Neurospora crassa OR74A: one gene and its partner. The protein of the gene in region 1 interacts with the protein of each later gene in a biochemical or structural test. Links are inferred from orthologs where the notes say so. Each region holds a gene or a part of one and is shown in the gene's direction. Other genes may lie near its edges.

Region 1 (7,409 bases):
AAGTGAGGCGATATCAAGAGTCTCCTTCGATAAAGTCTTGTTGAAATGAGTATGTCTTTTAAGTAGTCTTGCTTTCCTCCGTTATTTTTTAAGCTCAGATTGACTTGTGAGAGGGGAGAATGACAGAGTGGTGCTCAGGGCATTCGCATGTAGTGTAGTGTACGCTAACAAGTCAAGACTCGCGCCACGGAGACAGAGACAGACTTGAAGATTCTGGATAATATTATCGGCTGCTGTTCCGGATTGCTTATGAATAAGCATCATCCGACTCGGCGCCGGCCATGCGGCAGAAAGGTTGTGAAACCATTCATGGTGATCTTGAAATCCCATAACTTTTCTTGATTCATTATCATTATTACCAAGGACCGCTTCAAAAGACACCCCCCAGAGTAAGGCATCAACTATTGTCAAGGATACCTCGTCTTGAGTCTGTACATGGTGTTGGAAGAAAGAAAGTGGAAGATGAGCCGGTGTCATGGCCTGGGCTGTTGGCCGGTGACCATGTTGCGATATGTACCGCGCAATGCGTAGAGCCAGTCAGATGTCGTTCCGAGCTGAAACCCGGCCACCAGTTATAGACGCATTTTTCTGCCCAAGAAATTGAGAGAATTTAAAAAAAAAAAAGGGTTCATGAAGGGTTCGGGAGATTTCGCAACCTGCATCAACGCAACAGTCGCGGGCTTGAAGGCGTTCTCTTTCTGGTTGGGCTGAGAACGCCTGCGCCGCCCGTCTTACCACCGGGCAAAGGATCGCCTTTGGGCATCTACTGGCGCCACGTGAAGCCGGACTTCTTGATGCCTTTTCGCTGCCCAAAGACCCACTGCGTCGACTAATGCAGGCAGGAACCAAAGTACCTTGCAAGGATACCAATGATGCTCACTCGCTAGTCCCAGCCATCGTCAAAGAGGCCGTTCCGATTGCGACGATGGCCTTCCATTATATGCGCGGTGGATGTCCGTAACACATTGAAATTGTGCCAAACAACATACATCCAGCGGGCAATGAACATATCGAATCGGTCACTGGACTGAGCGCCGTACCGTTTGCCTCGTTCAATGGCAGCACATCTCACCTCTCAATTCCATTTTGTGAGAGCAGTTCACGGGCAGCTGCAACCTCACGTTCGTCATAGCCGCGCCAGCCTCTGTCCTTCAGAGTGCTATGACGAACGATTTCCGATAGCTTGGCGGTCGCAAGCTCATCGAGACGCTCAATTGTCTTGGGATCAGGCAGAGTGAACTCGCCATCGTCAGTCTGCTTGGCCTGTTTGGCCTGTTCCTTGAGAAGCCTCGTGGTGACCTGGCAGACGGTCAGCACATATTATTTTGTTCGCCCATGACGGCTATCGGAAACTTACTAGCTTCAGCCCATAGTAGCCACGGAGATAGTCGTCGCACAGTTCAATGCTCCGAGCAAACCGCTTGAGCGCCTCGGCCAAGTACTTTTGCTGCGATCCACCGCCACTTCCCGAAGTCGTGGCAGCCATGTACTGCACCTCTCCCAGTCGTGCATGTATCTAGATGGGCTACATTAGCATAGGGCTTGGGCTGTTGGGTGAGGGAGGAGCGCATACGTTCCAGGCATTGGGCGACAGAAGGAGGACCTCTTCCAGGGCGTAGATGGCCTGAGAGTATAGCCCTTGTGTGAAGTAGAGATCCGACAGCTCAGACCAGGCCTCGGCATCGGTTGGGGAGAAGTCGAGGAGTTGTACAAGAGCCGTTGCGGCATCCGAGACGCGACCCATGGATCGTAGGAGGGCGATCCGGCGCTTTGTGATAGGCTGTAGACGTAGACATGGCGGGTTAGCAAATCTGCCGTCCGAGAACAGTTGGCGTAAACGGTCAGGACCCACGAGATTGGTGCTGTTTCCTTCCAGAATGGCATCGTACTGCTTGAGCACCGCTTCCAGCTCTCCGTTGTTCTCGGCCTGGGCCTCGGACAACAAGCCCCTCAAAGCCATGACTCTCTCATTGTCGGGGCCAAACCGTGCCTCCAGCTGATCCATACATTTTGCGGCCGCTTCATCATCGCCGGTTCGGAGGCACGCTAGCAGCAGATTCTCGTATGTTGCCCATTGGTCCACCGTCTCTGATGACGATCCTTGCAAGACAACGGGAGCTTGCTGTGCGAGTTGGAGAGCTTCCGAAGGAGGGAGCTTGGCCGGGTTGAAGAGCAGGGAGGGCGCCATTGTGTATATTCGATTTAGTTGGATAATCGTATAGTGGTCGGGGTTCGCACCGGACCAAGAATCACGTCGCTCGTCAAGGTTGAAAGGAACCACCAGTATGTCGTGACTTTGTAAACCGCTGATTGACAATTGGCGCAAGTATGATGGAGGCAATCGAAGTCTCGGCTTTAGCTTGTGGTCTGGAAGCTGTCGTCAAATGATGGAAGAGGAGAAGTTGATGGCCGGGGAAACTGAAGCTTCCACTTCTCTGGCGTCAATCTGTACAATGCTGGACGCTGGTAGACGTCGCGCGGCGAGCACTGCAAGCTGGAGCTGAATGCCCGCCCAGGCACTCCATGGATGGGTAGAGGTAGGTGGGGCAAGCATGTGGAGCTTCTCGTTTGGAGCTCTCACTGTGTCATAGCTGCTCTTTCAGCGGTAAAACAGCTGGACAGACAGTGCAATCTGGGGTTTTAGGGGACAGTCGCAAACTGTACCACTGCATCCTCACCTCAAAGCACAGGCAGGCAGAGAGAGGTCAGTCAGTTCAGAGGGCAGCCAGTGACGTGAGATAGCACGACCAGGACGGGGAGGGTGCCACATTTGTGAACCCACCACGGACATCGGATCTCCAGCAGCAGCGTCGTTGACGGCCATTGCCTTTCCAAACCAAGATCCGTCAAGCGTGTTTCGACGACGACGCCGACGACGACGACGACGACAAGTAAACCCAACGGCGTGACGACGAGAAGCGCATTTACTTACAACCCTCGACCCGGGTGGCGCCCACAGCATCTCCCAGCTCCCCCAACTACGGCCGCGGCAAGATGCGTCGAGTTGCGGTTCAGTCCAGACACAGCAACACCTCGTCCCCGTCGCCTCGCTATACCTCCAGCTTATACTAGACTTGTAAACACTTTCGATTCCTGTCACCCAAGTGGAAGTTCTACGCGAACCGATTGCTACCCTTGCGCCGCCAGCGTCAGGCCTCCCCAACTTCGATATAGTCCTCACAACACTGGGAACATCGGCAGTTGGGCCACCACAACCGCAACCATGTGCGTCAAGCTCCGGCTTCCGTCTGCACGAGTCGACTTAGCTGATGCCCCCTAGGTTCGAAAAGTCGCTGTACGACCTCATCCGAGGTCTGCGTAACCACAAGGGAAACGAAAAGGAGTACATCCAGAACTGTCTGAAAGAATGTCGTTCCGAGATCAAAAGCCAAGACATGGGTTCGTCCCTCTTGTGTTGTTGCGCCCGTTCAGTTGCTTTCGCTAACACATGCGCAAAGATGTCAAGGCCACGGCCCTCCTCAAGATCATCTACCTCGAGATGAACGGCCATGACATGTCGTGGGCTTCCTTCCATGTCCTCGAGGTCATGTCCTCGCCAAAATACCACCAGAAGCGCGTTGGATATCTCGGCGCCGTCCAGAGCTTCAAGACCGATACCGAAGTGCTCATGCTAGCCACCAACCTCCTCAAGAAGGACCTCTCGGCCTCCTCCCCGATCGTCATCTCACTCCCCATTGCTGCGCTGCCGCATATCATCACGCCCTCCCTTGCCCTTTCTGTACTAGCAGACCTACTGCCGCGTCTCAGTCACTCGCATTCGGCTATCAGGAAGAAGACCATTGTTACACTATACAGACTAGCCCTGGTATACCCAGAGACCCTCCGAGCAGCATGGCCAAAAATTAAGGAGCGACTTATGGACAAGCACGAGGATCCGAGCGTGACAGCAGCCATTGTGAACGTGGTGTGTGAACTCGGCTGGCGGAGACCCCAGGATTTCTTGCCCCTGGCTCCGCGCCTGTTCGAGCTCTTGGTAGATGGGGGTAACAACTGGATGGCGATAAAGTTGATCAAACTGGTAGGAGGAAACCTGGAGTTCCCACTTGACGGCGTCTTTGCTAACTTGCGCAGTTTGCAACCCTCACCCCTCTAGAGCCGCGTCTCGTTCGCAAGCTTCTGCCGCCCCTGACCGATCTGATCCGAACAACGCCAGCAATGTCCCTGTTATACGAATGTATCAACGGCATCATACAAGGAGGAATCCTTGGAGACTCTGAAGATGATGGCAGGGAAGAGATTGCTAGTCTGTGTGTTTCAAAGCTTCGAGGCATGATTACTTTCAACGGTGATGCCAACTGTGAGTACCTTTACCGCTTGCCTTTGTCTGTACAATTCTCACCATGTTATTCGCTCAGTGAAATATGTGGCTCTGTTAGCCTTCAACAGAATCGTGGTCACGCACCCGTTCCTTGTTGCCCAACAAGAGGACGTGATCATGGAGTGCATCGACAGCGAAGACATAACCATCAGGATCAAGGCTCTAGACCTGGTACAAGGGATGGTCAGCAGCGATAACCTGGTATCCATTGTCAGCCGGCTTATGAGGCAGCTGAAAACGTCCACAAACCCGAACAATGATCAGTTGGATGATCTGTCAACCGACTCGAGTGAAGAGATGGGCGCTGAACGACGGTCCCGGAAACGAGATGAGGCGCCTCCTCTCCCCGAAGACTATACGATTGACGTTATTGGCAGGATCCTCAAGATGTGCTCGCAAAACAACTACTCCAGTGTGGTCGACTTTGACTGGTACATCGACGTACTTACACAACTTATCCGGATTGCTCCGGCGTCTCGTAAGGAGCTTGACTCGGACGGCATGGCACTGGGGCCGAAATCTACCACGGCCGATATTTCGGAGAGTATTGGTAATGAGCTCAGAAACGTGGCCGTTAAGGTGAAAGCAGTGAGAGCTGCCGCTGTCCGGGCTGCCGAGCTTATTATTGCAAAGCTATCGATGGAGACCACGTCACACCAAGTGATATCAGGTTCACTGAAGCCTGTTGCCTGGATCGCCGGAGAATACGCAAATCTGCTCTCAAATCCAAGCGACACACTCAATCACCTGTTACAGTTAATACCGCGTATCAGACCCTCCGAGGTTCTCGCAACCTGCCTGCAGGCCTCCATGAAGCTGTTCGCGCTGATTGCTGGTAACGACCAAACATACTGGACAGCAGAACGAAAGTCCATGGTATCTCTGCTCATGGCGCGAGTCATCCATACATACGAGCCCCTAGTGCTTCATCCATCTCTTGAAGTCCAGGAACGCGCGGTTGAGTTTACTGAGCTCTTGAAGCTCACCGCCGAGGCAGCATCGGCACAGGCGTCATCAACGGACGAACTCGAACAAGACCCGCCCCTCCTTCTCACACAGGCGATACCCTCTCTCTTCCAGGGTTGGGAGCTGAACTCCGTCGCAGTTGGCGCTCAGCTGAATGTTCCGATGCCAGAGGGCCTAGACCTGGACGAGCCTATTCATCCCAACCTCAGCAGCCTGCTGGCGCAAGCGGACTCATTGATGCTTCCCATCCAGGAAGACGACGAATTCTCAGCTTACTACAACGAAAAGGCAGCACCAACCAGCATCTCCAGCGAGCCAGCAATAAACAGACTACGGGACGCTCCCGAGACGACATCGGGCTCCTACCAGCAAGCGACAGAGGATAGCTACCTTGACGCAGACATCATCGCCCGTCGCAAGGCCGAACGAGCAGAGCGCAACCGTGACGACCCTTTCTACATCGGCGACCTAGGCAGTCCCTCTCGCTCACAAGGCACTTCCACCCCAATACACAACATTCTGCAGAACGAAAACGGCCCCGACCTCGACATCGACTCCATTCCCATTATGAAGCTCGACCTTGGCGCCATCAGCTCCTCCGGCGTCGGCGGCGCCCCCGGAACACCCCAGCGATCCAAGGCACCCAAATCACGCCCACAAATCGTCGTCGCCGCAGACGAAACACTCGTCGGCAGCCGTCCGTCCACCCCGCGGACGGGAAGCCAGCATGACTCGGACGCGGATCCGTCTAGCGCGAGCGCCAAGTCCCGCGCAGCACGGAAGCTCAAGCAGTCCCTTTTGCAGGTGGATTCCAGCCACTTGCGCAACCTCAGCCTCGAAGCCAGCCATTCTGAGGATTCTGGTGGCGGTGCTCTCCCGCACGAAAAGCTCGCGGAGACAGACGCGGAAATGGCAAAGGCCATGAAGGAAGTCCAGCGGTTGAGGCTGGAGATGCAGAGGGCTAATGAGAGGATACACGTCGCTCAAGGGGTGCCGACAGAGGGGGTGGTGGTGAAGAGCAAGAAGAAGAAGGAGGGGAAGAAGGCCAAGTCCAAGTCGAAATCGGAAGAAGATGGTGCTGGGGCTGGTGAAGATGAGAAGGAGAAGAAGGTGGTGAAGAAGAAGAAAAAGAAGGCGGAGACGGAGGTGGCAGAGGGAGGAGGGGAAGGAGCACCGGTGGGTGGAGAGGGAGAGGGAGAGGCGGTGATTACTGTAAAAAAGAAGGAGAAAGAAAAGGTCAAGAAGAAGAAGCCAAAGAGGATTATACAGCTTGGTGATGAGGATGCTGGTGGGACTGGAGCTGGAGCTGAAGCTGGTGAGCCATAGGTTACAGGCAAGTCACAATGTGGAGGGGATAAATAGAATACTGAGGTCAATTAATGGTTATGAATTGTCTGTATGAACGTTCCCTTGGTGGGACTCAAAGTGAGATCGAAAATCTGGTTGTGAGCGACGATACTGCCAAAAAGAACAAGCAAACAGAACTGATCACTCTTCGCCCTATTGTCGAGTAGCGAAGTCGTCAAAAAGGGCAGATAGGGAAAAGTTGCCAAACATTCACTCAAGCAAACCATCACAAAGATCACCTTTCATCTTCCAAATCATAGTAATTCGTCCTATCGATTCACAGGGGCGAATCATAGCCATATATGTACTTTATATCCAAGATATAGGTATCATGTCATCTCATCAAGCTAACCTCTTCCTCCCATCCTCCTCCTTCTCCTCTTCCGTAAAACCCCTCTTCTTCACCCTCGACGGCCCCGGAGCCATCGCAATCCACTCCCCCTCCCTCGTCCACACCCCCGCCTTGGTATAGTCCTCGCTCTTGTACCCCTGCATCCACGCAAACCTAAAGTACTCATTATCTCTCCCCACTTCCTCTCCTTCCCTCGTCCACGTAAAGTCAGAGGGCGCATTCTTGTCGAACTCATCATCGCTAAAATACGTCCTGAACCGTTCTACATCGTTCACCAGCACACTAATCCCATCGTAGATCCTCCCCGGCGGCTTGCCCCACGTGAAAGTGATGCTGGAAATATTCGTCCCCAGTGAGATCACGGGCGCGGCGAGGGCTGGTAGGGGAGATCCCAGCTGGGCGTCT
Region 2 (7,309 bases), on another chromosome or scaffold:
TCCGGCCTTATGTGCTCCAGAGCCCGTCGGCGCTGCAGGCTAGTTTGGCGGAGCTGAGCAACACGCTGAACAACGATAAGGCACATATTGATGCGCTGGACAGGCGATCAAGAGCTCTCCAGACGTCAACGGACTCGTTCAGCGTGGTGGCATCGGACGTGGCATCATGCATCAAGCTGTTGGAAGAGATCGCGATCGAGCTGGCCAAGGAAGAAGAGGAGAACGTTAAGAACGCAAGGCAGAGAGACGCGCTCACGGAGCGGGGACACAATGTTAGAGAGGTGGAGCGTACCGAGGCGCTGCTCAAGAGGCAATTGGCCAAGTGGGTCGATCGCACGGCGCAGCTGCGAACGCAGAGCGAGGAGAAGGCGCAAAAGGCCATGGAGAAGATGGAGGAGTTGAGGGCGGTGCATAGGAAGTTGACCGAGGAGAGGTCGGAGAAGGGCAAGGATATTGAGAGGAGGAGAGTGAGAATCGAGCAGACGGAGAAGAAGGTACGTTTAAGCTGGACTGAAAGAAAAGAAATGAGGAGAGATGCTAACCAGTTGTGCCCTCAACTAGATGCTCGACTTGAAAGAGAACATTGAAAACGAAGTCCACGCTGCCCACGACGAGTACCTCAAGATGGAGGCACACATCAAGCTGTACATTACCGAGATGGAGCAGGCCATCTGAGCGAGCGTTTATTGGTGGATATGTTTTATACCCTTTTGTTCGCACACTTGTTCTTGTTTAACGTACAGTGTACTGCACCGCATTGGTTCACGGGTAAAGCATCGAGGTTTTGTTTGGCATAAGAGGTTTCTGGAGCATGTATGGATACCATGGAGTGGCGTTTCGGTTTAGTTCCCAGCAGGCTGGAAAGGTTGGGTGTGGTAATCTTTGCCTTTCATACCCTTTTAGGAGGCATCAAAAGTTGTAACACTGAATGAGACCACGAACTCTTACGATTACAAATTTCTTTCTGCCGTGCTCTGTGTACTGAACACTATACGACCCTCATATTCTCTTTCCTGCAATGACCAACCATCCTCAACTGAACAAACGATCTCTTTGCCTTTCCCTTTCCCACTCCCCAAACCCAAACTGGAACCATCGACCCAATACCCTCCTAACATCCACCGTCCTCCCAATCAACCCACCACCAACACTTCTCTCAAGATCCCCTCCTGCGCCTCTCAAAGCACTCCCGCTCACAACTGGCATCTTCTCCCCAAGCAAATCATCCAGGCTCCTCAGACTCTCATCATACCAAACTGGCTCAACAACCACAACCCCCAACCCAACCCTCCTCCCCGTCTCCAGCAATACAGCAGCCGTGGTGTTCAGCCCTTGCACGCTCCACTCGCTCGAATCACGATGTAAGGCTAGAAAGCCGTAGACTAATAATAGCTGTTGAGGTTGTGGACGTGCTTGCTGGTTTGGTAAGGGGTTATAAGTCGACGGATGAGGAGGAGGAGGGGTGGGAACCTTGTTGGTGTTGGTACTGTTATGATTGGTATCAAAGACAGAGAGAAAGGCGCGCAGGTGGGACACGGTGGGAACGAAGACTATGCGGATGTGTCGTGCTACGGCGACTTGGTAGAGGGGGGAGGCGAGGAGTTGGGAGGCCCAAGGGCCCGGGGTGATTTTGGCCGCCGGGGTGGTGCTTGTTGTTTTGGTGGGTTCATCTTGTGTTGACTGAGCTGTTGCTGCCGGTTGTTGTTGATTACTGGGCCACGGGATTTCCCGTTGTAACTCTTGGGCTTCCTTTTGGTCTTGTTTTGAATCTGTCGGTATCTTGTCTTGGTCTGGTTGAGGTGAACTTTGCCACTCTTCTTGCTCTTGACCCTGTGACTTGTCGTCATCTTCTTGGCTTTGCCTGATATCCCTAGCCAAAGCTGTGAGAAATTCGAGTCGGCTGGAGCAGACGATCAAGGTGGTGGGATAACTGCAGTGGTGGATGATGTACCAGAGCAGCTCAGAGGGAAATGCCGGGGAGCAGAAGAGAGGCTGAGGTTGAGCCTGAGACTGAGAAGAGTCCATGACATTGGTCGCTTGGTAGCTTTCACGACAGGAAAAAACGTTGGCCACGACTTGCGATTGCGCAACCAGCAAATATGTGCGTGTGGGGGGAGTGAGCTCCGTTTGAGATTTTGGTATTCGAGGAATGAAAATGCATTGGTTGTCGTCTCACATGCACGCTGCAGAAGGCGTTCCACTTGTGAGGTTTGTTTCTAAACTTTAAGGTATCACATCGCGGGTCTCGGATAGGGCTGAGTTCCGCTTGTATCGCGGTGGCGGCCGTCCCGATCCATATGGTCAAGGTGTTTGTTCGGACCCGGGATGATAGGGGTCCTCCCGCGGACGGCAAAAGTGGAAGCTAAAACCTGGGGAGATTCGATTGAAAAGAATACACGCCTATATGCATATGCTTGGATCGTGCATAACGACTAGAGGTAACAATCAAGGCAGCTCGAGCACTCAACCACCTGTCAGCTCGACATGAAAGACACCACTTGAATGCTCCCGTTATCCGGTCTTATTAACGGGGGAAAACCGTGAAATGGAGAGCGTAGATCTATCGGGTACCTTCAAGTGTGGAAAGGGGTGATTTTACCATCTCCTATGGTAAGGAAAAAAATGTTCATCGGAATCATCAAGCCATAAACGGGTTTTGGACATATAATTGAATCGAGCATCTGAGTTCAACATCTGGAAATCCTCGATAATCTCGTCGGTCGAGAGTTGTCAGCTGGCTTAACGACGGTTGGGTGGCATCGCCGCCGTGTCGGAAGCCTGATGTGAGTCTGTCAGGTATTGTTTCACTTTGGATTGCATTGTGTTGTGAGGCCGTAGAGGTAGGAAGATGATGGATGTCCCGCTTGTGATGTCTGTGTATAAGTGGAGGGTAGGTGAGAGATCGGGTGGTCAGCAAGGTAGGTAGTATCGGGTACATAGCTGCGAGGTAGGCCTGCTACGGATTCCCCGCTATTCCCCAATCCACCACAGCTCCAGGCCGTCCGTGCATCACGTCACAGCTCACCACCCACTGCTGGGCACCGGGATCCTAACTTTGTCCATTCCAACTGATCATCGCAACACTCAAACGTGCTCCCCGAAACAGCGAGCTCAGTGCGCTGGATAACAGTCACTGACCCAACATGGAATCGATAGCCAGGATTTCGTCGCTGCTAGAAAGCGGTAAGCTTAACTCCATCCCTCTTCAGGTTATCACCGTGTCCTCCTGCTTGCTGACCACGGCGTCTGTCTCTACTCCAGCCCGAGAGCTCACCCTCGATGCCGCCTCGGCCGCCCGCAGCGCCCGCAGCTCGTCCAAGCCTCTCGATCGCGTTCAGGTTAAGAAACTCCTCGACAGTCGCAATGAACGAGAAGTGCTGGACGGTCTGCGTCGGGTCATCTCGGTATGTTTTTACCCCATACATATGGTTTGGTGGCCATGGGAGCAAGTGCTAACAGCTCGGGCGCATGTCTTCTAGATGATGTACCGCTCGCAAAGGACACACCCTCTGTTCTCCTCCGTCGTCAAGAACGTCGCCTCTCCGAATATCGAGATCAAGAAGCTGGTCTACATCTATTTGATCCACCATGCCGAGGAGGACCCCGACCTTGCCTTGCTATCCATCAACACCATCCAGAAGTCGCTTTCCGATTCCAACCCTCAAGTGCGCGCCTTGGCTCTACGCACAATGTCCAACATACGGGTTCCCGTTATCAGCCAGATTGTGTCGTTGGCCATCAAGAAGGGCGCCGGAGACATCAACCCCTATGTGCGCCGAGCCGCTGCCTTGGCCATCCCCAAGTGTTACCGACTCGACCCATCCCAAATGCCCTCACTGCTCGAATATCTCTCGACTCTCTTAGGCGACAAGCAGTATTATGTGGCAGGTGCCGCCGTTACAGCCTTTCTGGAGATCTGTCCGGACAGATTGGACTTGATACACAAGCATTACAGGCAGTTAGTCAAGATGGTGGTGGATATGGATGAATGGAGCCAGCTCTCGACACTGCGGCTTATGACAGTTTATGCGCGAAAATGCTTCCCTCGACGAACCCGGATGGTGAAAGCCCAGGACAAGGCGGCCGATCTTCAGGACTTTTACGGTGATAACGCCGCCGCCAGCTCGAATAATGACGCCGAGGGCCAGGAGGTTATTGTTCTCGACCCTGATCTCGAGCTGCTCCTCAACAGCATCAAACCCCTCCTCCAATCACGAAACTCAGGCGTTGTGGTTTCAGTAGCACGCTGTTACGATGCAGTAGGCACGCCCGAGTATGTCAAGACAGCCATCGGGCCATTGATAGCTTTGCTACGAGGCGCTCAGGATATCCAACAGGTTGCACTCTACAACATCGTATCCATTTGCCTTACCCGGCCTGCCGATTTCGTGCGCTATGCCTCGCATTTCCTAGTGCGTGCAACGGATACACAACCCATATGGGAACTCAAGCTGGAGCTTTTGACACTCATCTTCCCACATGCTCCTCTCCATGTCAAGAGCCTTATTCTCAACGAGCTTGAGCACTTCAGCCGAGGAACCGATAAGGCGCTGGTTAGGGAGGCAGTTAGGGCTATTGGCCGCTGCGCGGTAACAGACACAACAGCTGCACCTAGGTGTCTGCGGTTGCTTCTCAGTCAAATCACTAGCTTGGACGGCACGCTGGCCGCAGAGAGCTTGACAGTGATACGACATCTAATCCAGCAGGACCCAACTGCACACGTCGCTACGGTCATAAGGCTGGCAAAGAACTTGGACTCGGCCACCGACCCACACGCTCGTGCCACCATTATCTGGCTCGTAGGCGAGTTCTCCGGTCTCAACGGAGAAGAGAACATCGCCCCTGACGTGCTTCGGATTCTGCTCAAGGACTTTCCCTCCGAGTCCGAAATCGCCAAACGACAAATCATCCTTCTCGGCGCCAAGGTCTACCTACACTACCTCAACCGACAGATTGAAGCATCACAAAATGCCGATGGCGAACCGGGTCCTCCACCCAAGCTTCTCGAAGACGATGACCATCCAATTGCAAAGCTATGGAGTTATGTGCTCCTCCTGGCTCGCTACGATACCTCTTACGATCTCCGTGATCGCACTCGTCTCTACAAAGCATTGCTCGGCGTACCCCAGCTCGCAACCCTCATGCTGCTCGCGCCTAAGCCTGCGCCCCAAGCGCAAAGTCCCTCGGAGATGAGGCGTGGGTATACCCTTGGCTCTTCAGCCCTGGTCCTCGCCGATGCCGCCGGTGTTCACGGCGTCAGGGGCTACGAGGACTTGCCCGATTGGGTCGAAGAGGGCAAGCAGCCGGATCCGAGACTGAGAGAGACAGGTGTGCCACCAACCGCGACGTACGGCGAGAAGAGAGTCGTACCAGCTTTGGAGATTTTGGACGGTGGGTCGTCTAGATCAGTGCCTACGAAGTCTAATGGTCTGGGTGAGGGAGTAGGGACCAAGACACTTGATGATTGGCTTGCGGAGGAGGAGGATATCAGTAAGAAGGCGGTGCCAGTGTCAGCACCTGTGCAACGGCAGGTTGTGGAGGAGAGTGAAGAGGAGGATGAGGAAGGGGAAACCACTGAGGAAGAAGAAGATGATGATGAAGAAGAAGAAGAAGAAGAGGAGGAAGACGATGAAGAAGAAGAGGAAGAGAGTTCATCGGAAGAGGAGGAGTCTGATGATGACGAGGCCGAAGACGCGAGGCTGATGGGGGCATGACATCCAACTACTTGATACCAGTATGAATTGAATGGTCAACTGACATGGAAGAATACCTCATAATTTACGATATGCAAGCTATGCTGCTTCTGTTCATCCTGGTCCTCCTCATAGTCACGAGTCCATGAATTTCCTTCCCGAGTTTTCCGACACATCCTCTTTTCTGTCCAGAAGAAGAAGAAAGAGAAGGATATTAAGTTGTATTCCTCCCCTATACAAGATGGCATCCAATCTGATTGTTGTGCCAACTTATGTTGCAAATAATACCATTTAGTTCCACTCGATACCGACCAGACTCAGGGAAATGGAAACAACAAGAAACATATCAAGTACGACGAGCACCAAGAGCGTCTTTAGCGATCCACTTTATTCACAATTTAGAAAAGAAGTCGTCATGTATTGCTTGATATAGCTCATTTCTCGCCGTCTCGTTTCCTCGATCCCAAATTTGGAACTTGACTAACGGGCCCCCGTCCGGACACGTCCCGGTTTTCATGTCCTGAAAGGAAAAACGATGATGGTTCCACTTCAGTTTCCACCCCTTCCTGCATAAAGAAGCATTCATCCTGAGAATCATGATACAACCAACCGCACAGTCCCTCCAATGTATTGCCTTGCCTCCTTTCTGAATGCCGGTGATCCGTCTTCCTTTCCCTCCGCCGCAATTGTCATCCTAGCCTCATCGTTGCTTTCCATTTCCCAAATCTCGGTCAAGTAGGTAACCCAGCAGACTCACCACCACCACCACCAGCAAGTCGGTCTGCTAAATTGTGGGAGGTTTGCAAAATCCCCAGTCCTCTTCGCCTTCGGTATGTACCACCCGTCCGTCTCACCCCTCCCACACCCAGGGCATGAATAAGAAAGCGGACAAGAATGATGAGACCAATAGGGAGGAGAATAACCGGAGGAGGAAAGAATCAGGAGAGAGAAAGAGTATCAATGGACGCCCGTGACGAAGTCGAAGTCGGTGCGTTACTTCTGCGCCTCCGTTCTGCCATATCCTCATCATTCTCCTCCTGCTGGTGCGGTTGGTGCTGCTGGTGCAAGTACTGTTGGTGCTGCTCCTAAGTATTTTCGATCGAGTTGTTGATCGCCGAACGCCAGTCGGGTGTCAATGAGTTCGTAGTCGTCGTCGTTGTTGCCGCCAGCGGCCACCATCCCGCGCCGACGCACAAATTCTCGCACGTGGGAAAAGATGATGATGATCCTATAACCAATCATGCATATGCCTCCTAAGACGATGAACGTGATGAAGCAACTTGTTATCATCACCACCACCACAGCCGCCGGGACTATGGCCACGGAGAACAAGTGCAGGAAGAATGAATCGGAATCCATTGTTACTTGGGCGTGGATGGAGAGAGGCTTGGTGGTGGACTGGAGGTTTCTGGTGTCGGCAATGTTCTTGGGTTTTCTTCCCTTGGGTGTAATGGAGAGGAAGCCTTGATAGAGAAAGTTAGCTAGAGTCAAAAATTGACTGGCTATGAGACGGAGGAGACGGAAATGGGAGGGTGGGGTACTTGGGCTTGAATTGGCTTGGACGATCTGCTGGCTTAAGGGTAGTATGGTTGTTGCCTGATGTTTTCTGAGGTAGA

What was found.
Region 2: the proteins of NCU04652 (region 1) and NCU06569 form a complex in vitro, tested with the Saccharomyces cerevisiae proteins (2 studies listed by BioGRID). The link is inferred for Neurospora crassa OR74A from reciprocal best matches to the Saccharomyces cerevisiae genes APL5 and APL6.

What each region holds. Positions count from the first base shown.
Region 1 is NC_026505.1:1,326,916-1,334,324, reverse strand, and holds NCU04652 (AP-3 complex subunit delta), read left to right. Parts: upstream 1-2,784; 5' UTR 2,785-3,223; coding exon 3,224-3,225; intron 3,226-3,280; coding exon 3,281-3,399; intron 3,400-3,458; coding exon 3,459-4,039; intron 4,040-4,092; coding exon 4,093-4,318; intron 4,319-4,376; coding exon 4,377-6,631; 3' UTR 6,632-6,739; downstream 6,740-7,409. Other genes in the region: NCU04651 (tetratricopeptide repeat domain-containing protein), read right to left, coding at 1,069-1,299, 1,358-1,516, 1,574-1,780, 1,853-2,188; NCU04653 (LCCL domain-containing protein), read right to left, coding at 6,995-7,409. UniProt on the Saccharomyces cerevisiae protein: Part of the AP-3 complex, an adaptor-related complex which is not clathrin-associated. The complex is associated with the Golgi region as well as more peripheral structures.
Region 2 is NC_026504.1:1,658,270-1,665,578, forward strand, and holds NCU06569 (AP-3 adaptor complex subunit beta), read left to right. Parts: upstream 1-2,996; 5' UTR 2,997-3,143; coding exon 3,144-3,183; intron 3,184-3,261; coding exon 3,262-3,404; intron 3,405-3,479; coding exon 3,480-5,714; 3' UTR 5,715-6,108; downstream 6,109-7,309. Other genes in the region: NCU06568 (kinetochore protein nuf2), read left to right, coding at 1-494, 562-675; NCU16765 (hypothetical protein), read right to left, coding at 1,033-2,025; NCU06570 (hypothetical protein), read right to left, coding at 6,720-7,052. UniProt on the Saccharomyces cerevisiae protein: Part of the AP-3 complex, an adaptor-related complex which is not clathrin-associated. The complex is associated with the Golgi region as well as more peripheral structures.